Lytechinus pictus: one gene and its partner. The main gene of each other region encodes a partner of the protein of the gene in region 2 in a complex. Links are inferred from orthologs where the notes say so. Each region holds a gene or a part of one and is shown on either strand. Other genes may lie near its edges. The genes, in order: RNA polymerase I-specific transcription initiation factor RRN3-like and DNA-directed RNA polymerase I subunit RPA2-like.

Region 1 (12,701 bases), on a different chromosome or scaffold from region 2:
GGTAGTGCGTTAGACCCCTGCGGGACTTGGACGGCAATTATGGGGATTGAGAGTGCTAAAAATAGATTCAGAGACCTCTCAATTCCCCCCAGTTCACCGTCTATTTTTCATGACTTGCCGTCTTCCAATAATCTTGTACTATTGTAATAAATGGTTATGAAACCTGATATTACTAAACTAGTAGGTATGTGCGAATACGGGCGCATCGCGAGCGCTGGTTTTGGCTGCACGGTTTTCGCGCGGGTTTCGCTGCAAGTGGCATCGCCTCTGTCTGGGAGGCTCATCGAAAATGGGGTTTCATGCGCATGTGCACATAGTTGATGCAATCTCGTGCCTTGATACAGACAGTTGAAAATGTGCTCTTTCTGTACATATAAGTTTCAATGTGGATACTCGCCTGTGAAGTGTGGATATCGGAGCTTGAAAGTTCATCAAATTTTTGGATGCGCAAAGTAGAACTACGATCCAATTATGTATCTGAATTGTTATAGAATATATTCAAATCAACAAAAAAATTAAAATTAAAAGATTCTATCGTTGAGCTGTCCAGATATAAGAGAAGCGAGCTACCCTTGTCACAGCCGGTCTCTCGGCAGTCGAGCTGCCCGATGCGGTGGGCTCCCGTCCGTCTTTCGGCAGTCGAGCTACCGGTACCCGATGCGGAGGGCTTGGTGACGGGAGCGGTCGATAGTGAGTCGTTCATGCTGGATTGAACTGGATCTAAATTGTTTACTTGATAATATTGTGCCTTTTTCTGAAAATGTCTGTCATTATACCGTAGATTGTTATTCTGATATTGATTTAAATATATACATTTTGTCACAAAAACATTCTTTCCTCCTAAGGTTATAGAGTCAACATGTTTTACTTTGATTGTTCAATCATGTTTTATCATTTGGAAACTGGATTCTTTTGGAAGTGGAATATTAATGTTGACTTATTGAATTAAAATGCAAAATCTATAGTGTTTCTTTTTTTTCTTTTGTAGAAAAAAAAATATTTTGAAACTTTTCAATCATGTTTCATTATTTTGAGACTGAATTTGCTTTTGAAAGGGGAATATCATAAATGTTGACTTTTTAATTAAAATGCAAAAATTGTTAATTTTTCAGTTTCTTTTTTAAATTATTGTATTGTTTATTTTTTCATTTTTGGGGGGTCATATTTCATTATTAGGAGACTGGATTTGCTTTTGAAAGGAGAATATCTTAAATGTTGATTTTTTTTATTAAAATGCACGAACTAGATGTTGTTTATTTTTTTGTTGTAATTTTTTCACTCTTGTAAGAAAATACATGAAAACTCAGAGGAAAGAATATTTCATTTCCAGATGGGTCTAAGTCATGTATTTATGTTTTCTTTATTATTAATTTTACTATTTATTTTTTTATTCACTTTTCTTTTTTTAGGGGCGCAGGTGGGGGTTGTGTTTTGAATTGGAAAATGGGGATGGGATTGGTACAAGTTTTTGTGTCACTTTTGTTTCTCTTGTTTTTAGTGCTTGTTTGGAGCTTTGATGTCTGTTTTGTTGTTGTTTAGAGCTTTGTTATATATTTTTCCTGGTTGTTTTTTGTTTTGTTTTGAAAGAAATAGACCACTCTTTTCCTTTTCTTTTGGCTTCGACTAATAATTTGAATTTATTTATTTTTCTTTAAAAAGAGAGCTCAAACAGGGCCTTAGTAATACAATGTATGTATACAAATATAAGACATTGACAACTGATAGAATATATTAAAACTTAATTTTCGTCCTTCTTGATACTTGAAATAAATTGCATACAATTCTACATACATATTTTACACTCAGCTGCTCATTCCTTCTAAAAAAATGTTATCACATGTCCATTGTCTCTCAAATCAAAAGCTACATATTATACATTACATAACAAATTGTTGAAACAATAGAATACATAAGGAATTGGTGAAACAATCAAAATCATCAGAAAAAAGCACACATATTTTTATTTGGTCATACAAAGTACAAAAGAAAATGTTTTATATGTAAAAAAGGACCCCCGTACATACACATATACAAAATTACAATACTAAGTTGAAAAAGAGCTTGTAATTTATATCAGAAAAACAAAGAAATACATTAGAAATTACAATAACAATACTTTAGACAAATTCATTTAGGAAATTATCTACATGATGCTGTCTTGATGCCAACTAAATTATATGAATTATCTATCATAATCACCTTCATTTGGCAAAAAAAGAGGCGAGTAATTGTGATTTTGTGTTATTTGCATAATTAATTAGAATTAATTAGAAGAAATTATTTTACACATAATAAGAAAAATTACAAGATGAATTGATATACATCAATTGAGCATTCTCTCACCTTTCCATTGATACCTAAATTACTTCATAGGACTCAAAAACAAAGAAGTTAGAACCTGTTGAAGACTTGGGTTCAAAATGGTCACAAAATGGTCACAAAAATGGGTTCTGTACTCCATTGACTTTACATTAAGACAATGACCACAAATTTGGATGAATATGCGCAACTTAAACTGGAATAACTTTCTAATTTCTTGATGAAAATTAAAGTTCTTGGTATCATTTTAAAGGTCTTTTTAAGAATAAGAGCTTTCAAGTGATACCAAATTTATTCATATTTGATGATTTTCATTTTTTTTGTCACATACCTAAAACTAGTGCACTTGAATGATGTCGGCTCTTGACAGGAGAATGAACTATCCTAGATTTCTTGATTCTTCAGCAGAATCCTGACATTGAGGCAGGGCCCAGACCTTCAAGAAGGGGGAACTAAAAACAAAAAAGGCAGCGTTCGTTCACTCGCGCTCGCTTTCAAATATTCATATTGCAAACAAACTGGCCGATCGCGATCGACTACCGATGGCATGGGTAAAGAAAACAGATTTTCACGCAAAATAAATAGGCTCAGCCAAATTCACGCATGTGCACTCAGTATATCGATACCAAGGTTATATTAATTTATTATTTTTAAATGCAAATTATTAATATTAATAAATACAACCATCATCTGACCAGGGACTCGATTTTAAGGCGCGCGAGAGCGATCGCGCGCTACATGCGCGCCTTAATCCATTTTTGGTAGCGCGATTAATAGCGCGCCTCGCGATAGCTGACCTGCGCGAAAATGCCTAAAGTCGCCCTCGAAATCACCCAAAATCATGCTTTCGGGGGCGACATAAAATCTGAATGTCGCCCCCAAAATTATTGCCGAGTGATAACAACTCAACGGCCCACTAGTGCCATATGCTCGAGCTCCGCTTACCATTTAAAAACCATCCAAAATCCACACTCAAAATCACGAATAAGCCTTAAAAGTAGAGAGTAGCGCAGTTTCAAATTCCGAAGTTGCGTTATTTTTTCTGTACCACGTATTTCCATACACATGGTACCAGGTATGGAAAAAAAAATCAACGCAACGGTCGGGAAAGAGTTGCATGTATAGGGGTCCATTATGACTACCACCGTGTGTCATTTCGAATGCACATGTTTCCCCTACAGATATCACAATTCTGTGATAAAATAATTCTAATTACACAGGAAATAAATCCCAGAGTCTAGTAACCTAGCATTGGTGAGTTGTCATTCGGCTTTGCTTTTCAAAACGGCTTATTAACTTCCAAAATAAGTTATCTAATTTATCAATTATAACTAAAAAGTCATTTGTTTTCTTTTTCTAGGGGATGAGGTATTATATCAGACAATAAATCATCAAACAAAGCTCCATCTTTTTTACAAGGACGGCGGCAGGCTCACGCATTGGCGCTTTTACTAGCTAGCCAGTTGGAGCTCTGTCTCTCTGCCAGAGCTCTGGGGGACAATTCGCTCAGTAAAGGCCTCAATGATGGTGATTTTCTGTTTCAGACAGAGTTTACATTTCAGGAATATTATTCAAAACTGCCAATAAAGTTTGATGATTTCTTCATTGTCATGTATATTTAAGTTCTTAATGAATACATTCTCACCAAATTTAGACTCCCCCATAGAGAAATTAAATTTTCATGGAGATCTGCGTTTTCAAAGAACTTCAGGAAAAGTTAGGGTAAGTGGGCCTTTATTACATGTACATGGCTGACTAGGGTATTGTACTGGAATAAATGGAGTAGAAATTAGATATTGAATTCATTTATATCCAAGTCCAACTCACAGTCACACACACACACACACACCCACCCATCCACACACACCCACATCCAAGATTGTAAACATGATAAATAACTTTAAAAATCATACAATATTAAACAAAAAGTAATAATTCCTTAATAAATGAACAGGTATTCCTCAAAATACAAAAAAGTAGCATTTAAAAAGAGCCCCCGAAATTTGACAAAAAAATTAAAATGGAGCCCCCGAAAAAAAAAAAAAATTGTCAGTGACTTAACTTTTAGCCAAAGTCAAAACCTAACTAAAACAGGTTTTACAACACACAATCTAATTACAATACATTGTAAAACAATTATAAATACTTCCTTTGGTTGTTGATTGTAATTTTATAGTACATACATTTCCTCCATCCATTTTGTTAATTGGGCAAAAAGCTCCCCTTGTATGTTGAAGAAGAGCTTTTTGAAGTGCTCCTCTACCGCTCTCCTTAAAAGTTCTAGGAGAGCTTTTTATTGCTCCCCTTATAATTATAAAACCGAGTCCCTGATCTGACCTAGACCAAAAGCTTCGGTCTCTGTTATGTTGGTTGTTCAGCTGAACTCCGTTGGCTTCACTCACCAAATACGAGGAGAAATAAAAAATAAAAAAATGTTTAAAAACTCCTCAAAACCACTCCTAGTACCAATGAGGTCCAACATTACATGTATGGACCTCATAGGCGACATCAGTAGTATTTTTGGTTAGAAATCTCTGAGAACAGGATATTTATACATTATATCACAAGTACAAGCTATATTCCTTTCTCTTATTTAAATTATAATTTTATAGTGTAAATGCATCGTTAGCAACAACAAAAAATGAAAGAAATGAAGGGGAACTTACATTTTCACGGCTTTTTCCTGATTTTCTGGGCAGCTGCTCTTCTCTTCTGACTCGCGATCGAAGCTGATATGAAGATCACGTGATTCGCGTTCTCGTCAGCTGATCGGTTGGTTATTCTTTTCGTCAGACGTTAATAATATATATTTTATAATGCTAGCATTCATCGCTAATTTAGGTGAAAGAGATTGAAGTTAAACAGCGCCAGGTCGGAATCATAATTATTTTGGAAGAGTGTATTTATACACTCGATCTCATACCTGACGTAGACGGCGCTATTCAACAAATGCACAATCTTCAATATAAAAAATAAAACAGAAAGAACGCCTTGAACACAGGTCAAAATGCCTAACGATTTCTCCGCGGCATTAACAACTATCGTAAAGGGCGCTCCATTTATCAATAAAGATGGATGCTAAGCTGTCTATGGCGACAAAATTTGCCGCAAATATTTACGAAGAATTGTGAGAAATGGTCTGAAAATGCAACAAAAGAACCGGTGAGTACCGATTAAACATTATTAAAGTTGTAAATAGATTATAGATACCTTGTAGATTTAGTTTTTAAGGTGATATTAGTGCTTAGTTCTAAGCTAGGGAGGCCCAAACGCGCGTGAGTGGAGTCCCAGTTTATTAGCACGGGGTGTCGCCTAGAGGCTAGAGTGCTCAAAACAGACGGCTGCCAGCTGTCTACATCTGACCATGACAACACAAAAGTGCACAGATGGGACTGTACTGTCGATTGAATTGATCAATTTGATGCCAGGTTCCATCCATACGGTACTCACCTAAACTACATCAACTGCGTTATTGAGACTTTCCAATCGGCTTGAAATCCAAAGAATACTCTCATTCAATGCTGACTGAATCAATGTCGATGGTAAAGTCATAAAACAAGCCCTCATTTAGTTCACTTTCAACACGTGTTGTAACTTCGTCGCGGAATGTTGCGCATGAGTTAAAGACCTATCGAAGTCACGTCCATAGGCTAGGCATAGAGATGTATACTAATAACGCGTATACGTCGGCCGCGCCGGTGTCATAGAAGAATTGGGCCGGGCAGCCGTTCAGGGCCGGAGGAACTAATCGGTGGCTCTTTTATCCGCCGATTAGTTCCGAATATTTTTTTTTTAAACAAGTGCACACCGAGTTACCAATAATGCATATAGCATTTCCATTTATTTGAAGGCAGGATAAAAGAGCATTGTAGATTAAATACCTTGCTCACAGGCATAGGTGCCGCGGCCGGGGATCGAACCCCGGACTTTCCATGTATAGCCACGCGCCTTAGACCACTCGGCCACGGCACCTCCAACATTGTTGTGTGATGCGATCGTCATAGCCGATTTGTTCCGACCAGGCGATTTGTTCCTAGACGCCGCTCATTCAACGTTGACACTTTTCAACCAACTGGCTCCTCCAAATTAACCATATCGACAGAACATTACAGTTGCCGATTTGAGAATCTTATTTTGGGACATAGAGATGTATATATGTTTTGGAAATATATAATTTATGCATTATTTTAGCACACTTCCGATTGATTACAGCTGTGTGGGCCGGGCCACGAAGCCATATTCACACTGAGTGCTCCCTTTGCACGCCTGTTATATTTGGGGTGTGAACTTCGATTTTGTATAGATCTAGGTCTTCATTACTCAAGTAAGAAACCGGGGCAAGAAATAGGACGGGATGGCGACTGGTGTGCTGAGGGTGGGTGGGGGTAAACACTGCTGCGTGCTCACCAAAACCCCCAAAGTAAGTATAGAAAAAAATATATAAATAAAATAACTAAAAGCTTAATAGTCCATCAAGGCTGCACAAAACACAGGGAACTCTTAGTGACACCTCATTGAGACAAACCCGGGTAGTCCAAAAAGGAGGTGCCAAAAAGGAGGAGATAGATGAAAATAAAAGGGAGAGAAAAAAAGCGAGATTCGAAGAACAGATCGCAAAATTAATTGGGAGAAAGTAACAAAGAGAAAAGGGGGGAAAAGGAAAGAGGGGATTAAACCGAAAGGGGAGAAAAGGAAAAAAGAAGGGGGACAAGGGGACAAGGGGGATTTAAAAAGGTTATAAAAGAGCGTGGCCGGGATACCATTTGAAGTGTGACCTGTAAGGAGGTGCCGAATTGATCATAATTATGTTCGACCTTTGTGCGGCAATTTGATGTTTGGCCCGGGGTTTGGCCTCGGGCGCATTCATGTTTGGGGGGGGGGGGGACAAATTGACATTAAATTACTTAGGGGGCATCAAATTGACCTGTGTAAATGAGGGGGGGGGGGGCTTTAATTGGTGCTGACATAAGAAAACACACACACACAGGTGTATTTTATTTATGACGACTCAAAACTGGTCGTAGCTTATACGATCATCAAAGCTTGGTGCAATAAGAGATACTAAGCTACAAGTTATGTATTTTCATTTTTTTTCATTGATCATTGAAGTATAATGGCACCGACGCGTCGACTTGGTGTACGAATTTTTCTATGCTGCGAGCGAGCAAAATGTTGACATATTATGATAAAAATATAATTTGTGATATATAGATTTTGACACAATTTTCAGAGAATAATATATGTCAAAAGGGGTATTGTGTGCAAACAGATAGCCCCCATGCTTAAGGTAGTGCGAGATGTCCTCGCATTAGATAAAAAAATCACGGTCCATGTTAATAATAAAAAAGGAAAATATTGTTTAAAAACTAGCTCCTACTCCAAAAAAGAGAAGTGGAACGGTACCGTGTGTCAACTGTCCAGCGCTGCAATATACGCATGTCGCATGCGCAAAAAAGTGTAGACTAAATTAGTATCGTACGAAGCTGAAATACCTCTTATCTAGACCAACATTTTTAATTTTAAACAGAATTATAGAAATAATCGGTTCTGTGATAATATTAAAATTACATTAAAAATTACACCAATATGTATATTGAAACATTTGATCAAAACATATATTTATAGAATATATTTATTACCTTTTTTGGCTTTAAACAGAATATAGAAATAATTATTTCTAAGATAATATTCAAATTACATTAAAAATTACACAAATATATATTTTGAAACATTTATCAAAGTAAATATCTACCTTAGAAAGATTTGATAAATGTGGAACCAAACGGCGGCTCTCCTATCGTTTCGGCCAAAATTTGAACCAGTCATTTGGATCAGGCGGGCCCGATCGACTAGCCGTTTTGTACTGGCGGTACTAATAAGCTAGCCGTTTTGGACCGCCGGTACCCGGGCCAATTCGCCTATGACACCTGTCGGCTGGCCTGGCGCTATATAGCGCGCGGGGCCGGGGGGGGGGGGGGGTGTCCCCTTATACAACGTGGCCACTGGCTACTGTCAGGCTTTCACCAATTCCCGGCACCAATTTCATATATATATATATATATAACGAGATGAGGCGAGGCCAACTCAACAGATGACGCAGGACACCATTATTTGCTTTAGCTTTCGTCTTTTAATTGAGACTTCGTCATCAGTTCTAGCGTAATTACAGAACGTATCCTATCTCGTTCTTTAGGAAAGAACGAGATAGGATACGGTCATACCATAGAGATTAGTATATATCTCTATGGGTCATACTTAACTATCACAATAGTCTGTAATTACAGACGCTTCTGACGAAGTCTCAATTAAAAGACGAAAGCTAAAGCAAAAAATGGTGTCCTGCGTCATCTGTTGAGTTGGCCTCGCCTTATCTCGGTATGTTTGATATTCACAACTCAACAGCGATTGGTAGGAGTAAACTTATCATCACATTATATATATATATATATATATATGTATATATATATATACATATATATATCTTCTTATATGTTCCCAATACTCTTCCAAATAACATGGTCATATGTAAAGAAAGTTTTATTTTTTGTCTATATACTTACAGAAAACTAATTTCCCTCATAATTGGTATTATTAGTACAATAATCAATTACAATTTTCACTTAATGCTGATTCCCTATTTACCCACACTCCGGGCCCACACTCTCTGTTACTTCATTGATGACATGTATTTTTTGTAGAATTTGAAATAAACTTGAACTTGAACTTTCTATTCTTCTCTCATTGATACCTCAAATGAGAGTGGATTCAGATTCACACGTGAGTTTCTAGTGCGCAACTCGTTTCTGATATGTCTCAATACATGCAATATTTATTGTTCGTTATCTAGCTGCCATGCGTGAACGATTTACTACGCTGTTGGAAATTAGAGATGAGAATACAATCTTACCATGGACATCAAAATTTATATAGTAAAACCTTTTTAATAATGTGAAGTCTATAGGGGCCTATCTCTGAAAACTTCTGGTCGGCTTTCGATCCTAATTCCATGCACCTTCCCCCCCCCCCCCGGGGGGGGGGGGGCACTTATATTGACGAGTGGATACCATGCGCGACCAAAAAAAAACACGTAAAAAGGATGTCTTTTTCAAGATAGGGCACGTTACTTACGTAACGTGATAAGGGTGTCAAAAACACAAAAATATTAATAAAAGGGTATCTATTTCGCGCGGAAATATATACGTGTTTAGGGTCAAATATGCGGGGATGATAAAACAAAATAAAAATGTTTGATAAAGGATGTCCTTTTTGCCCCAACACTACGTGTTTAGAGTCCGATTTGCGCGAGGTGTGGAAGGTGGGGCCGACTAAACCAAAATAATGGTGTGTATATAAAGGTAAAACCGACGACCGACGGACCAGTGACATAACAATAAAATATCGCTGTACTTGTTTAGGGGTTCATTTCAGGGAATACTTGCCAAGAGTATATCGTTTTGTTTCCACTTTCAGAATATGGAAAATACATCGCCGTACTTGTTTAGGGGCTCAATTCTGGGAATAATTGCCAATAGTATTTGTTTCTAATACTTGTTAAGGGTAAGGTTTCACACGCCAATACTTGTTAAGGGGTGCATTTTGAGAATATGGAAAATACGTGTATAGGGTGCTTTTCAAAACCCCGTGGTCGCGCATGGTATCCACTCGTCAATGGAAGTGGCCCCTCCCAAGCCACGTACCGCACAGGGTGTTGATGAACCTACAAATTTACACATTTTCTCATGATTATTTTACATTATACTCAAAATACAGAAAGTCCTTGAAATACATCAATTCTAGCAAGACTGTAATTAAGAAGCTAATTGAGTGAGCATTTTAGAATTTTCATGTTTTGTCCAACCTTACATAATGATGGCACCATCCTGGATGATATACCGTTCCTTTTATTTATTTTCAAAATTGTATGTGTCCCCATGCAATGTATTTTACCATCATAAAAATATATTTCCAAGCTATAATAAAATATATGCCAGACTTTATGATAAATTCGAACTGGAACTGGATGCCCGTTTGATTTGGTCGGTCATTGGATAAAAGTTTTTTTTTTTTTTTTTTGGGGGGGGGGCACACAGCTAGGCCCTGGGAACGATTTTTTTTCAGTGGGGGTGCTGAAATCTCTCCTCAAAAGTGGGGGGAGACACAATTTACCATATTTCTTTTATATACAGTCACACACACACCCTCACACACACATACATATATATATATATATTGTGATGAGGCCAACTAAAAAGATGACGCAGGATACCATTTTAGCTTTAGCTTTCGTCTTTAATAAGACTTCGTCAGACAACCGCGTAGCCAGGATTTCATTTTGGAGGGGGCGGTAAATGCACGCGAAGCGTGTCAACACTATAAAGCGCGCGAAGCGCGCTCCCTAGGGGGTGGGTGCAGGGAGGGGGAGTTTCCCCCTCCCTTGCGAAGCGCGAAGATTTCGGTGTTTCATAAATTAAAATGAAAATGAGCCGTCTCTCTTGTCTCTAGTACCTATTTTAACCCATAATTCAGTTGACTATATTGTGATTTTGAACCTTGTTTTCGAAAGTGACTGTGAACGCACAAAAAGGGATAAAATGGAGGAAAATAAAATATTATTAACCCTGCGTGAAGCGCGGAAGCTAAAGCGTTTTGTCAATTTTTTGGCAAAGAAAAGGGTCCCGAGAAAAGGGTATTCTCTAAGTTATATTGAATACTTCCCTCGGAAAGATCAGATTTGATTACAAACAATTTAGCGACAGTGCATATCTTAACTCGCAAAACAGAGGAGAGGAAGGATGGGAGGAAGATATTCCTCCCCGTGCAGAGCAATGAAACTCTGAAATTTCAAAGGGCGGGCGTTTCGTCAAATGCAGATATCTCTAATACCCCATTGGCTCTAATTCAATTGTTTTTCCTCTAAGATTATTGAACTTCATTACAAAGAAAATAGTGCGCAAAAATGTGAAACTTCTGTGATTTATTGAAATCATATAAAACAGGATGATGTATAATTTCTTTGACTTATCCTGATGCGCTTCATTTTAAATGATAATGAAATTTAAGTGTCATTCAAAATTTCAAACTGAGGGCGCAAAACAGGACAGGAGATGAATGTGCAGGGAAATGACATGAAGTTTAGTAGAATTTGATAAAAAATATTGTACTTTTTTTTTATTTAATACGACATGAATGTATACCTTCCTCTTTTTAAATTAGGAACCTGTTTGCCCCCAAATTATGGTTGTTTAGTAATAAGCTGAAAAGCGGGAGAAGTTGCCTATATGGAGGTGACGCCAGAAATTGATATAAAGATTTTACCCGCCCAGAGACGACCCGACCAGAAGTTGCGCGATCAATAAAAAAAAAAGAAAAGATAACTTCATATACTTCGGCCTATCCTTACTCTAATTTCATGCCCTAATGTATATATTTGAACTTTTTAACTGGCAAGAAACACATATAGCTGAGGTGGAAAAACAGGGATAGAGAAAGGGTGAGGGAAACAAAGGAGAACTGCAATATTGTCATTTAACCGCGCGCAGCGCGGAAGCAAAATTCATACATGTATATATAAATTTAGAGCAAGAGTGAAGGAGTTTCTTTTTTGAGAAAAAAAAAAGAATAAAAAGAAAAACCCACAAAGCTACCTTTCTTCCCTTTCCTTCCTTCGCTTTTCCTTTTCCCCTCTCTTTTTCCCTTCTTTTTTTTCTTTTGGGGACGTTTGGGGGGGGGGGGGCGACCGCCCCCACCGCCCCCCTGGCTACGCGCCTGTCGTCAGAAGCGTCTGTAATTACAGACTATTATGGTCATGATGCCTTCCTTATTTATCTTGTTTTTATAGGTCAAGTCCACCCCAGAAAAAAGTTGATTTGAATAAATAGAGAAAAATCAAACATGAATAACGCTGAAAACTTCATTAAAATTGGATGTAAAATGAAAAAGTTATGACATTTTAAAGTTTCGCTTATTTTTCACAAAACAGTTCTATGCTAACTCAGTGATGTGCAAATGAGAGTGTTGATGATGTCACTCACTCACTATTTCTTTTGTTTTTTATTGTTTTAATAATACAATATTTCAATTTTTACGAATTCGACAATTATAGGACCCCCTTGCTTGAACCACAAAATGTTAAAATAGTGGAATTACATGTGTTCAGGGAGGAATGAAACTTTGTTTCACATGACAATGACTAGAAAATCAAAATATTTCATATTTCATATAATAAAATAAAAAAGAAATAGTGAGTGGATGATGCCATCGGTCCCCTCATTTGCATGCCGACCAGGATGTGCATATAACTGTTTTGAAAAATTAAGCGAAACCTTAAAATGTTATAACTTTCTTATTTTACATCCGATTTTGATGAAATTTTCAGTGTTATT
Region 2 (12,813 bases):
ATAGAGAAAAATCAAACTAACTAAAGGTTAAAAACTTCATCAAAATTGAATGTAAAATAAGAAAGTTATGATATATTAAAGTTTCGCTTATTTTTCACAGAACAGTGATGTGCACAACTCAGTGACATGCAAATGAGACAGTCAATGATGTCCCTCACTCACTTTTTCTTTTGTTTGTTATTGTTCGAATTATACAATATTTCATTTTTTACAGATTTGTCAATAAGGAACAACTTGACTGAACCATATAGTATTAAACAATGCTAATTCTACATGTTCATGGAGGAATTAATCGTTGTTTCACTGGACAATGAGAAAATTAGAATATTTCATATTTCTCACAATGAAATACAAAAGAAATAGTGAGTGGATGACGTCATCAGTCTCCTCATTTGCATACCGACCAGGATGTGCACATAACTGTTTTGTGAATTTAAGCAAAACTTTAAAATGCCATAACTTTCTTATTTTACATCCGATTTTGATGAAATTTTCAGTGTTATGCTTGTTTGATTTTTCTCTTTTTATTCAAATCAACTTTTTGTTGGGGTGGACTTGTTCTTTAAAATGACCACACAAGTGTTGGGACAGTATCAATAGAAAAAGCATGTCTTATGATGCTGGAAGAAAGTGAGTTCTGGGTCTCGTCTTACAAAGAGTTGCGATTGATCCAATCAATCTCAACTGTATGGAAATCCATCCATACCATAACTTTTTCGTTAGAAAATTTACACAATCTCCTTCAGTAAACAAAGAGAATCAGTGAATCTTCAAAAGAGCAAGGAATGTATGAATATACATGATATCTCAAAAATATTTCGAACAAATTTGAATTTTAGATGTTGACTTTGCTGGCCGTCCATATGAGGTTGATTGGATCAATCGCAACTCTTTGTAAGACGGGGCCCTGTTTAATTTGAACTCTGGCCTAAGGTTGTGGTTTAACTATGGAAAGCCAATCATGACAGGTATATCCAAAAGTACAAGTTCAGTTTGTTAGCCAATTTGACACTCAAATCATTCATAACTGACTGGGAATAATAACTGAAATAGTTCTCTCCATCATTTAGACATGAGCGAAGAAGAGACAGGAAACAGATAACACAGACCTGTGCAATTTCAACATTTTGGCTCCCCATTATTTTAACTTTGATCAAGGTCATGGATTTATAGTGCAAAGACAAAAGACTACCCTATGCCTGTTCATATGGACAACTACCTAGGTTCAATAAATCAGAATATCATAAAACATATGTCATTAACTTACTCTTTGCATTCTTTGGCTCTAATTTTTTTGGAGGTGGTTTCTGTAAAACAAAAAGAAAACAAAAATCAATAGATTCTTTGATCAACAGGATTTAAAGCTTTTAAACAAATAAATTATATTTGAATAAATCAATCTATACAAAAGTCATGTAAAAAAACTGTCATGTAACGTTTGGGCTCGGGATGAAAACCCGGCTTGAACCTGGACTGGAAGGTTTTAATAGCAAAATTAATTTCCGGGTCCTGAATCGGCCCGGAACTCGGAGCCACCACTCGACCGATCAATCTCACAGTCGCTGCGCCTAGCGCTTGCAATACAGCCTGGTGTCCCTTGGTGCGTGCTTACTAGGCTGCCTATATCTAGCCTCTGATCTTCAACACATCATTTTTAAAAACCACAATAACTTGTTTCTCCGGGCATGTATTGAATTTCCATAATTCCAGCTGAAACTGGGACGTAATTACCCAAACCCAAGCTCTCTTCAACTCGATCCTAGAATTAGCATCGATTTCACTGGCACGCCATCATGCGCTGAATGTATGTACAATCCATGAACATCTTTGAGATTACAAGGATACTACAGGGGCAATGAGAGACATGCATACGTACGTGTTCAATGGACATTTGCAAAACACGCCCAAAATCAAACAGGGCCTAAACCAAAGAATGATTTTAGCCAACTTGTGGGTTAAAAAATAAAGAGTTTGTATGACACTCACAGTTTCCTCCTCATCATCATCATCTGACCCAAAGACGTCAAAATCGCTGTCGTCACCATCTTCGTCGTCGTCAGCGGGTTTCTTGGATGCAGTTGGAGTGACCGCAGGACCGTACTCACTGATAGCTTTGGCTACCCCAGGTAGGCTGGTTTCAAACAACCAAAAAATAAAAAAGAAATAAATCTTAAAACAACGTCTCTTATGTAAAATAAGATATAATGTACACCCTGTACGCATCAATAGGGATTATATTAATCCAAGGCTATGGCCTTTTATATCCTATTGATCAGCCTAAATGCCCCTATCATCATGGATAGATACATTTTTCTTAATTATTATACAGGCGAACCTGCAAATGTCAAATCTTATGGGACCATATTAGAATTCTGTTTGACTTGGGCAAAACTCAACTTGGATTATGTTAAAAAAATCTTTTCCATTTTCTCCTGAGTTATATATTCCCTGCACAAATAAAATAAAATTCAATTCATTGAGAAAATGGCTTTAAAAAAAATGATATCACACAGCCAATGGAGCTGCTCGTTGGTCATGTCACAAAATCAGATGCTTATCACAAACAAATTTCCATCAAATCTTCACAAATATTTTTCTCTTATTTTTCTGCTCTAATTTAAATCAAATATTATCAGGGTGAACTTCACTTCCCCTTTAATTAGGGAAAAGCGGGCTAGGGCAAGTTTAATGAGACACTGTACATAAACCTGCACAACAGTCAACAGTACAAAAATACACCAAACGGCACTCACACTAGTGCGAGGTTAGTACCTTATTTATAATAGTATACTAACCTCGCACCAAGAACCGCGTTTGGCAGTGGATTTCTAACTAGTGGGTCGCGTGTGCTGTGACGCCACTTCTGGCATCCACCACACACGACTTCTATGGCTTGATTTTTCTGTGCGCGGCGGCATTACAGTGGCCTGTACTTACGAGTGAAGAAGAAGATTTTGTTCCGATTTATGCTAAAAATGACCCTGGAAACTTGAATAAGGGGCCCTGGAAAATCCTTCTTCATTGCAATGTAAAAAAATCCAATGTAGCAGATTTATTGGGCAATAATTTGCAAAAAGGAGCCCCTGAAAATAACTGTTTTTTTTTGGCTGCCATTGATGCATTAGCCCCATTTACTGTACATTCATAAGGAAAAAAAGATAAATTACACACACCTAGTAAATGTGGAAGAATACGACTTGACTTGATTGTACCATCTGAGTGCGTTGAAGAGGTCTGCTGCTGGGCCCCCAGTCAGTGCTTTGAAAACGACAACATCAGCCTGGGATACAGTGTACCTGAAATTGGAAGAGAAAAGTAACTAAAGGTAAACTGATGTAAATTCTTTTCATTCATTCGGGTGTGTATACTATAAATACATAAAGGTTTTTTTTTTCATGAGGGTAGTAACAAAATCTGTAACCACAAGCTACATTGTACGTTGATTGAGTCTAGATGCAACTCACAATAAAAATAACCCTTTTAATTCAAAGTAGGTTCTAAAAATAAAATAATACTAGGGTGGCACCAGATTTGTGCTGTAGACATGTGTCAAAAAGTCAATAGGTGAACTTGCCTCAAATTTTCATTCTATATTTTGAGTGAACAATGTAGTTAAATGTGGCAACATTTTCTGGCAGCCAAGTAATGTGACATGTTTCCATGGCTCCTCACAGAGGCTCAAACAGTCTATAAAGACTTAAAAATGCCTATTTTCAGCCACTAGCCCACAAAGTATAGCCTATGGCCTGGGGATGGGCCAAAATGCTGTATGTATGCATTTCCAGACACATTTTATGGCGCATTTAAGCCTTATTTCTAACTATTTAGTAGGAAATTTCATGGTCAGTTTTGAGCAATGTCTTTGACAATATAATGCTAATAAAGAATATATAATAAAGGTAACGCTTTTTAGTAGAAATGCCGTTTCATTTTTTTTTGCCCTATCTAATAGTAATTCAAGATTTGTATAGCGCACTTTCCATGTTGATCTTAATTAGATGCTCAAGGCGCTCAGAGCGGAATAAAATAATTGTTTTCTAAAAAAACACATAAAAAACAATCACATTCTTTTTATGTAGGCCTACAATAGGCTACATGTATGTTGATTTAATCTTAGACTAGGGTGTCTGGAGAATTTTTTTTTCTTATTTCAAGGAAATATCACATTTTCTTTGTGAATTTGAAGAGAAAAAACCTTCAGACTGATAGAAATGTAATATTTTTTGAAAAAATCCAATTATTGGCTGCAAAAAAGAAGAATGAAATTAGGTCAATTTTCAGCATTTCCCTGCCATATTACTGTGTAGTTAAGAAATGGACACACACAAATCCTAATTTTTAGCTTCCGAGAGCTGTTATAAATTTATTATTAATGCCAAAAACTTGTCCATAAAGTGTCTAGTAGGAATTTTTATGCTCTTTCCGATGGTATGATTTTTATAAAGATTTGGAAACCAGATCACAATGAAGAATTGCGACAAAGTGAAAAAATTTGTGCAAAACAGAAATTTCATTTTCCCATAGAAAATGCATGGGGAAATAACAATCTCAACACACAGACAAATAAGGGTTTGCAATTTATCTCTAAATCCTTATTTCAAATAATCCTATAAACTTGTCCTTACTGTCAAAAGAAGCCCCTGAATTTTCTTTCAATACATGCCAAACAAAAGTTAATAATCAATTCAGATCACATTTTTTTAGCAGCCTGAATTTCCTGAAAAAAGTGTGCCATATTTTCCCCTAAATCAGCCTGTCTTATGCTGACACTTTTCAGTGTGGCTTCAGACACCCCACTTAGACAGGAAATAAACAACTAAAACCTGAAAGATGACTTGAATAAAATAAAAACAAAAGAAAAATCACACACCAAAATTTTTATTATCAAAAATGGATGTGAAATAAGAAAATTGTGTGAGTTTTCACAAAATGAAGGTGATATGACAGAGGTGCTGGTCAGAAAATTGGGATCGTCCCAGTTTACAGGGACTGTCTCAGTTTTCAAAGATTTCTCCACACAAGAAATCTAACGTAGGAAAGTTCATTCACCTGTGAAGTGCCGATTGATGTCGGCACTTCACAGGTGAATGAACTTTCCTAAGTTAGATTTCTTGTGACATCAATCCAGTGCACTAGTCAATGTAATGTAAACATATCATCAGGTTTCATAACAAGATTATTGGAAATGGAAGACAGAAAGTCATGAAATATAGATTATAGTCATAGACATAGTCCATAGACGGTGAACTGGGGGAATTGAGGTCACTTAATCTATTTTTAGCACTCTCAATCCCGCAATTATCGCTACCCCAAATAGCGATTTTGCCGAGATCCGGGAAAAATCCCTGTAACGCGCATTGCATTATGGGATAGCTTTTCGGTATTAAAACTTCCTGTTCGGAAGTCCAATGCACTGTTTTGCCATTCAGATCAACAGTGCCGTCATGCACAACAACACAACGTCGCTTTCGCTCGGAAAGTTCGTGATCACAACCCTCTCTTTCACGATACAGTTTAACGGCCTTTTCTGCTAAAGTCACTAATTCTGCCTGACGCTTTCCATTGCACGGTATTCCTCTGTCAGTTAAGATTTTTTAAAGTTCCAAAACTGATTTTTTTTTTATCCATTTTGTGGTCGACGAAAAATTGAACGGAATGAATGCTGTAGGCTATATATTAAGCGTCTAGTCGAATACGATCGTGATGTCAGGCCGGTCGCTAAATGCGAAATTTTAAGATACTCATTTTTTGTTTAATTTTTTATAACCAAATAAAAACATGAATAAAAACTATTTTCACATGAAATATATTTTTTATTTTTATTTATAATTCAAATGGAATCAAAACTGACCAAATTAGATAAAAAGTATTATAATCTGTACATATCGCTGATTGGCATCGATTTCAGCGTGGTGGAAAACTCAGTATCGCGAACCTCGCGCGAGCATGACTCTGAACCGGAAGTGGTGATGACGACCCGACGGAGTGAAAATAATCTCGTCTCGCGCATTATGAGATTTTTGTTCCTATTTGGGGTAGCGAGAATTGCTGTCCATGTCCCGCAGGGCTAAAGTCACTAAGTGAATGAAGAGAAACTGTCCCAATAAACAAGGACAATCTCAATTCATCAAGACATGATTTGTCTTGCCTTGGTTATGACATGATGAGGATATCCTTGTTTTCTGAGACTGAGTGAGAGTGAGACAATCCCAATTTTTGGACCAGCGCCTCTATCTACCTGTCTACTGACAGAACCAATCACACACAGCAGTATAATTATCAATAAAAAACCCATTGTGGTTTACTTTCGTATGCTAATTTACTATTAACATTTGATATCCCAATCATGCCTATGGTACCCATCTCAACTTGAACATCGCAGTGGCAGTGCAGGGCAGACACAGCACGCAGCTCAGACTCAGTTAACCCAGGGAGCTCCCGCCCGCGCGGGCGGGAGCTTCCTGGGTTAAGACTCAGTCAGCTCACGCCACGCCTCGCTAGACGCTACCTCGTATGTTGTTGAATCTTGTGAAATAAAAAGAAAATTACCCTTCAATGTAACTGCGATCTGATAGGAAATCATTAAGGGCACCGAGCCCACTGCTGCTTTTAAGATCACCGAAACCCATTTTTGCAAGATAAGTTTGTTAAAAGTCGGAGTTGAGACGAGCAGCAAGTGAATCACACGTGTACTTTTCAGGAAAGGATGAATAATTGGATGACTCTGGAACTGGGCACGCACAGCACACAGTATACATACATTGAATGTAAAAAAGGGGGGTTCAGCGAAAAAAAATCTCGCATGTGCGAAACGTCGATGCACTTGCGCTTTGCCAAACAAAACTGCAGTGCACTGCAAGTGCGAATGGAATTGTGAATGTGGTAAGGTGGTCGCCCAAAATTTGTCAAAATGAGTGATACACCAACTTACCGTAACTTAACAAATGGAGAATATGGGAGACCGAAAGAGTACCAGAACAAGGTTGATATATCATTCGTTTTAAATCTTGAATTTACCATGTAATAAGGAATGTTTCGTGTGCATGATTTGGTGTAGTGTGAGAAGTTGTAATATTGTGTACATTAAATCAATGCCACAGCGAACCGACCTGAGTGCGGATATTAGGCTCCATGTTATAGACAGCTGGCAGCCGTCTGTTTCGAGGAGTTTTTTAAAAACATTTTTATTTTTTTTTATTTCTCGTACACAGACGGCTCGCTATCGTGCAGCCACCATTAGGGGGTTAACAATGCAAAATCCCCCCGACGGGGCTCATTGATTTTTGTCTGACTTAATTTCATAAATATATAAAAAGAACTGTACGTGTACCAAAACTAAAAAAAGGCAAAATAAAGATTATTAATATTCCGTTTTGGCCTGAAATGCACCAAAACGGGGAAAAATAAAATTAAAAGGGGAAAACACAGTGACTTACCTCGGCTGTCGCGCAACTTCACTTCCCTGTTTTATCCGAACTAATAATTACATGAACATATTAATATTAATTATTATAAATGGCCATAATTGGGTCCCTGTACAGATTGAGCTACAACTTCAGTCTCTGTATTTGGTGAGTGGAGCCAACGGAGTTCAGCGGAACAACCAACATACCAGAGACTGAAGCTTTTGGTCTAGGTCCATGTTATGATTCAGTGACATAACTGACATACATTACAGCTGACGGAATATAATCTCCTCCACTCACCGGAGGAGGGAGACGAAGAAGTATGATTTCATCACCTGCAATTTTATTATCCTTGAGCTCCCTGGGTTAAGTTTTCACGTGCTACTACTTGCAAAAGCTATTGTAAAGTTAGATCTTTATAATAAGGAGAGCGTAACGTTAGAGCTTGAAGTTAATGTTTAAAAAAATTGAAAAATCTTATTTAGATACCTAACACGAACAAAAGATGTAGAGACTCTAGACTTTAAATCTGATTTTTGTCTCGTCGATCGTCAACAAGTCAAAAGTTTAACTTTTTGAAACCTGGACATATAGCTAGGAGTAGGATATTTAAGTGTCACCAATCATGGTTACTGATCATTTGAGTTTCAGGTATACAAGTCACATATCACAATTGGGGTCAATGAACTTTGTCCTTGTGGTACATGTATCTTAAATTTAACAAGTATAAGATATTGAATTTTTAAGATAATTTTGAGAAATGAGTACATGTACATGTTCATAAAACTGATGGTGATTGCAGGCCTGGCCTATGCTACTATTATGTTCTTCTTATCCTTGATGAAGTTAGAGGTTAATACATGGCTGGTGTTTACAATTGATTTTGATTCTGTCTTTTTTTTTCATTGTGAAAACAGCTCCTAGAAGATGCAGTGCGCCCTCACATTGAATCCTTCAATTACATGCTTGACGATGGATTAGCACAGGCAGTGAGGAACATCAATCCAGTGGAGTTCCTATTGGATGATGAAAGAATTTCACTTTCATATGAGGTATCATTAGAAAAGATTTGAATAGTATTTTGAAATCAAATAATATGATGAAATCTAATTTTTTTTTATCAGTATGAAAAGTTTGATTTGATCCAAAAGATTCCAGAGTGACTGTGGAAGAAGATAACACATGAAGTATTAAAAAAACAAAGTAAACATTGTACTTTTGCTTGATAGATATCAATGTTCTTATGTTTCTGAATAGCTGAGTAGTTTAAATGAGAGAAAGTTGGAGACAGAGTTTTACTCATGAAAACATTACTCTGGAATTGCCATTGCATATAAGTATGAAAATGGGGCATTATACTGGTACACTGTATATGCACAAGTATGGATTGCCATTAATAGTAATTTTCAGCTATCTTGTTTCATTCTAATTTCTAAAATGATTCATCTCCATCTTTACCCCCAAGTATTCCTTATATAAAAAAAGTGAAAAAATACTTCTTTCTACATTTTCCTTAAAATTCACATGAAATCCCGCCTCATCCCAAACTTAAAGGGGAATCCAACCCAAATAAAAACTTGTTTTTATAAGAAAAAGAAAAGTCAGACAAGTTGATAGGTGAAAGTTTGAACAATATTGGACAAACAACAAGAAAGTTATGAATTTTTCAAAGTTGGAAATATTGGTAATCACTATACTCATGGAGACTTCAAATTGGCCGCATATGGGATGTCATAGTGATGTAAGGCAAGGACTACTCTTCCATGTACTCCACTACATATTATGGCTAAAATGTCATTTTTCCTCAAAGTTTTATTTCAAATTGTATTTTTCTTTCATGAGGACATTTAACAATATACTACCTGGGTTATATTTAGATTACTGCCCCAGGGGAATGGGTACTTAGGAGAAAACCACAAATCCCTGATAATAAAGTACATGGCCTATGGGAAGGTTGTCCTTGCCCCTTGTCATAATTTACTTACCCAGTTGCCAATTTGAAATCTACATACTATTAGTGATCCCAATTTTAAAGCAGCTATGACTTTCTTATTTCTTGTCCGATTTATTTCAAATTTTCACCATTCTGTTTAATTTATTTTTCTCCTTCCCAACACAACATTTTATGACCAAGGCTGGATTCCCCTTTAATTTCATCTTTATCCTTTCTGGCCCATAGTATTCCTATCCCCTGGGTCACCTGTATATCACAATATGCTCTGATGTTGTGAATGTCCTGTTCTTAATTTTATTGTTATTTATGTTTTTTTTTTCATAGGATACATTCATTCTTTGTGATTGTTTTTTTTTTCATAGGATGCATTCATTGGTGTACCAACCATTGCAAGAGGAAACCTGTTTGCTTCTACTCTTAAAGTCTACCCATCAGAGGTAGGTTCAGGGTGACCGTTTCATTAAAGTTGTCAGCACTGACAAATTGATTGTCTCTGACAGTTACTATAGTAACAGTCAGAGGCCAGTGCCTCTCAGCCAATCAAAACCAAGGATTTCACTGAAATTATCAGTACTGATCCTTCAATGAAACTCCCAAAGGTCGCTTGATTTCTTTTCCTCTCATTGGCCCTGAGAAATTGGTTATTTTTATCTTTATTTATCATCGAATATCCTTGAAAATGTGTTGCGAAAGCCATCTAAATTTCAATGACTAAAATCAAATTTCAGCTATAGGTGAACAATTCGGGATTATGTGCAATGTACATTGTAGGCTAATCAAAATGCCATTTATAGGTAGATATGCTCTTCAGCAATATCTCGAAGTGGCGGGTTATCTGTAAAAGTTCATTTACATTTTAAATCTGTCATCAGGATCCACGATCAAAGATATGGGAATGTTGTTTAGTCTATAATGATAATGACGTCCTTTTATAGTGCGTAACACCTTATCAGAAGTCTCTAAGTGCTCAATAATGATGCAGGGTGATAACCCCAGCTTTAGCAGAGCAGCTGTTAGGCACACTCTGTTTCAAGGGCTAAATTCCTGCCAAGTCCTCATTTACATGTACCTCACCTGGGTTGATTGCAGCAAAATCTGGATTACTTTCTTGCCGAGGGAAATCAATACCGCTGTACATCCTGGAGAAGGATTGGAACCAATGACCCTCTTGGGGGAAATGTTGGAGTGAGAACCACTACACCATGGCAACACCTCCAGAGTGATTGTAGTTGCTTAAAAAAATAAATTTGTTTCCTTTTAGTGTCGACAGCGTGGGACGACGTACCAGGCCCCTCTTCAGGCAAGGGTGCTCTGGCAACGAAGCAATGGGGACAGTGGGAGTGTCATGCGTCCTCTGGGCCAGATACCCATCCTTGTAAAAGTAAGTCAATGAATCCAATCCAAATCCACATTTCATTGTTTGAAAATAGAAGTCTTCAAATAGAAATATTCCGAAAATTCTTTTTGCCCAATTCTTCTTGGCCCGGCAGCCACTGTGCAGCGTCAGATAAACGAGATCTATCCCTTCAATGTTGAACCCCAGACAGGGTAGCAGCAACTCCCAAAATACATCTTTTGGTCTGATGCTCCGGCGTTTGAACTCTCGACCTCCCGGTTGTGAGACGGACGCTCTACCAACTGAGCAAACACAGTACACCGCAATACAATTCAGGAAAGCTTTATCATACCTGCCAACTGTAAAGAGAAAGTACTAGTAGTATTTGTTGAAAATATGACATGAATAAGGTGGTACAAAAGGACATAAAAAGAGATGAATTGGTTTTGTACACTCTTGCACACATTTTTCTATTATTATGAATTCTTGAAACCTGCTGAATAAATGATTAGTAAAGAAATAAATGAATGAATTCTGTACTTTTTTTCAGTGTAAGAATTGCAATCTTCACAACCTACCTCCCAGTGAGCTTGTAAAAAGGAAAGAAGAGGGCTCTGAAATGGGAGGTTATTTCATCGCTAACGGCATTGAGAAGGTCATCAGAATGCTCGTCATGCCAAGAAGAAATTTTGTAAGTAGCCAAATTCTTTGCTAAATTGTGTCTAATTTGTGGTGTTTTCAATATTACATAAGGTGAGTATCTTTGAGCTGGCAAAAAATTCTTCATGTAATTTATTGTTTATTATTATAAATGAATGTTTGGTACGGCAAAATCAGTAAGAAGCACTAATCAGGAAACACTAATTATTATTATTATTTGTTTGGCGTCACCTGTGCCTGGGAGGCGAAGAGCGAATTGAATCACTATGACCCGCAGGTCTCTCCTGATATAACTGATTGGGGGAGTGCAGGTGGACCACTACGCCGGGTTTCCCCTACTCTTATACGAATAGTGCAGTGGGTTCTTAATGTACAAAGGTGGTGACTCTCCTCTACACGGGGCCTCCATTAACGTCCTATCTGAGGGTCGGAGTGTTTTCCATTGTAACATAGCCTGCATCTATGAAACATGGGAGAGACGTTTACACACAACGCACTGGCTTCAGTCATCCGCATGGGATGGACTCGAACCCACGATCTTTGGTTCGACGGGCAGACGCGTTACGGACTGAGCCAACAACGCTCTCTAATAAGCTTTCCGACCTGCACTCATCAGAGTAAAATTGCATGAATAAAAAGTATTCTAAAAGCTTCAAATATCTCCATGTTCAGTGCTATTTAAAATTTACTTTTATATTTCAACTTTGAAATGAAGATATCATGATGTGAGCAAACATATTTTTTACATTTGTTGACTCAACCTTTGCCCTCAATAAAAGTTTTACCTTGTAGTAACAAATTTGAAAGGATAAGTTCCAGTGTATTATCAGTTCTGGGGGGTGTTTCACAAAGATTTAAGTATGACTTAGAGTCGCACTTAAATGCCTAGTTAGGTGCAGTATAAAAGGCATGACCGCATTGGTCAGATCATGCTAAGAGGATGCGCACTACTGCGTATTGATCAATAAGATTGCGCGTTGCATATCATGTACGCGTCGACATTTAAGTGCGATTTAAGTCATACTTATTTCTTTATGAAACACCCCCCTGATATGATAATGTAATTTGCATAAAATGTGCATTTTATAAGAAATTAATAAATATTTACATTTCATATTACAGCCACTGGCCATCAACCGTCCAAAATGGAAGAGCAGAGGAAAAGGTTTCACGGAGTTCGGTGTCCAGATGAGATGTGTCCGCAATGACCAGTCCATAGTTGTAAGTGACAAATCACAGATTTCTATAGAGTTCCCACAGTCATGGAAAATCCTGGAAAAAATTGTGGTCTTGGAAAGTCAGGGAATTTGGAAAATTTGTGAAAAGTCATGGAATGGCATTTACCTCTTGGCTATGGCAACTTTCCAGTTTGTTGTGTCTCGCAACTCTCATACTCTGCTATTATAATTGGTGTTCATGATTTCTATATTTCCCAGTTTTGTGACATCCCAAACTCT

The links.
Region 1: DNA-directed RNA polymerase I subunit RPA2-like (region 2) and RNA polymerase I-specific transcription initiation factor RRN3-like share a complex: the UniProt entries of both Homo sapiens proteins name them as parts of the pol I pre-initiation complex. The link is inferred for Lytechinus pictus from reciprocal best matches to the Homo sapiens genes POLR1B and RRN3.

The regions. Positions count from the first base shown.
Region 1 is NC_087254.1:4,770,665-4,783,365, reverse strand, and holds the start of RNA polymerase I-specific transcription initiation factor RRN3-like, read right to left. Parts: upstream 6,023-12,701; 5' UTR 5,770-6,022; intron 1-5,769. UniProt on the Homo sapiens protein: Required for efficient transcription initiation by RNA polymerase I (Pol I). Required for the formation of the competent pre-initiation complex (PIC).
Region 2 is NC_087257.1:11,049,464-11,062,276, reverse strand, and holds the start of DNA-directed RNA polymerase I subunit RPA2-like, read left to right. Parts: upstream 1-6,819; 5' UTR 6,820-6,910; coding exon 6,911-6,982; intron 6,983-8,323; coding exon 8,324-8,458; intron 8,459-9,722; coding exon 9,723-9,797; intron 9,798-10,621; coding exon 10,622-10,741; intron 10,742-11,246; coding exon 11,247-11,387; intron 11,388-12,478; coding exon 12,479-12,577; intron 12,578-12,813. Other genes in the region: elongation factor 1-beta-like, read right to left, coding at 1,268-1,307, 1,987-2,131, 3,174-3,296, 6,550-6,629. UniProt on the Homo sapiens protein: Catalytic core component of RNA polymerase I (Pol I), a DNA-dependent RNA polymerase which synthesizes ribosomal RNA precursors using the four ribonucleoside triphosphates as substrates.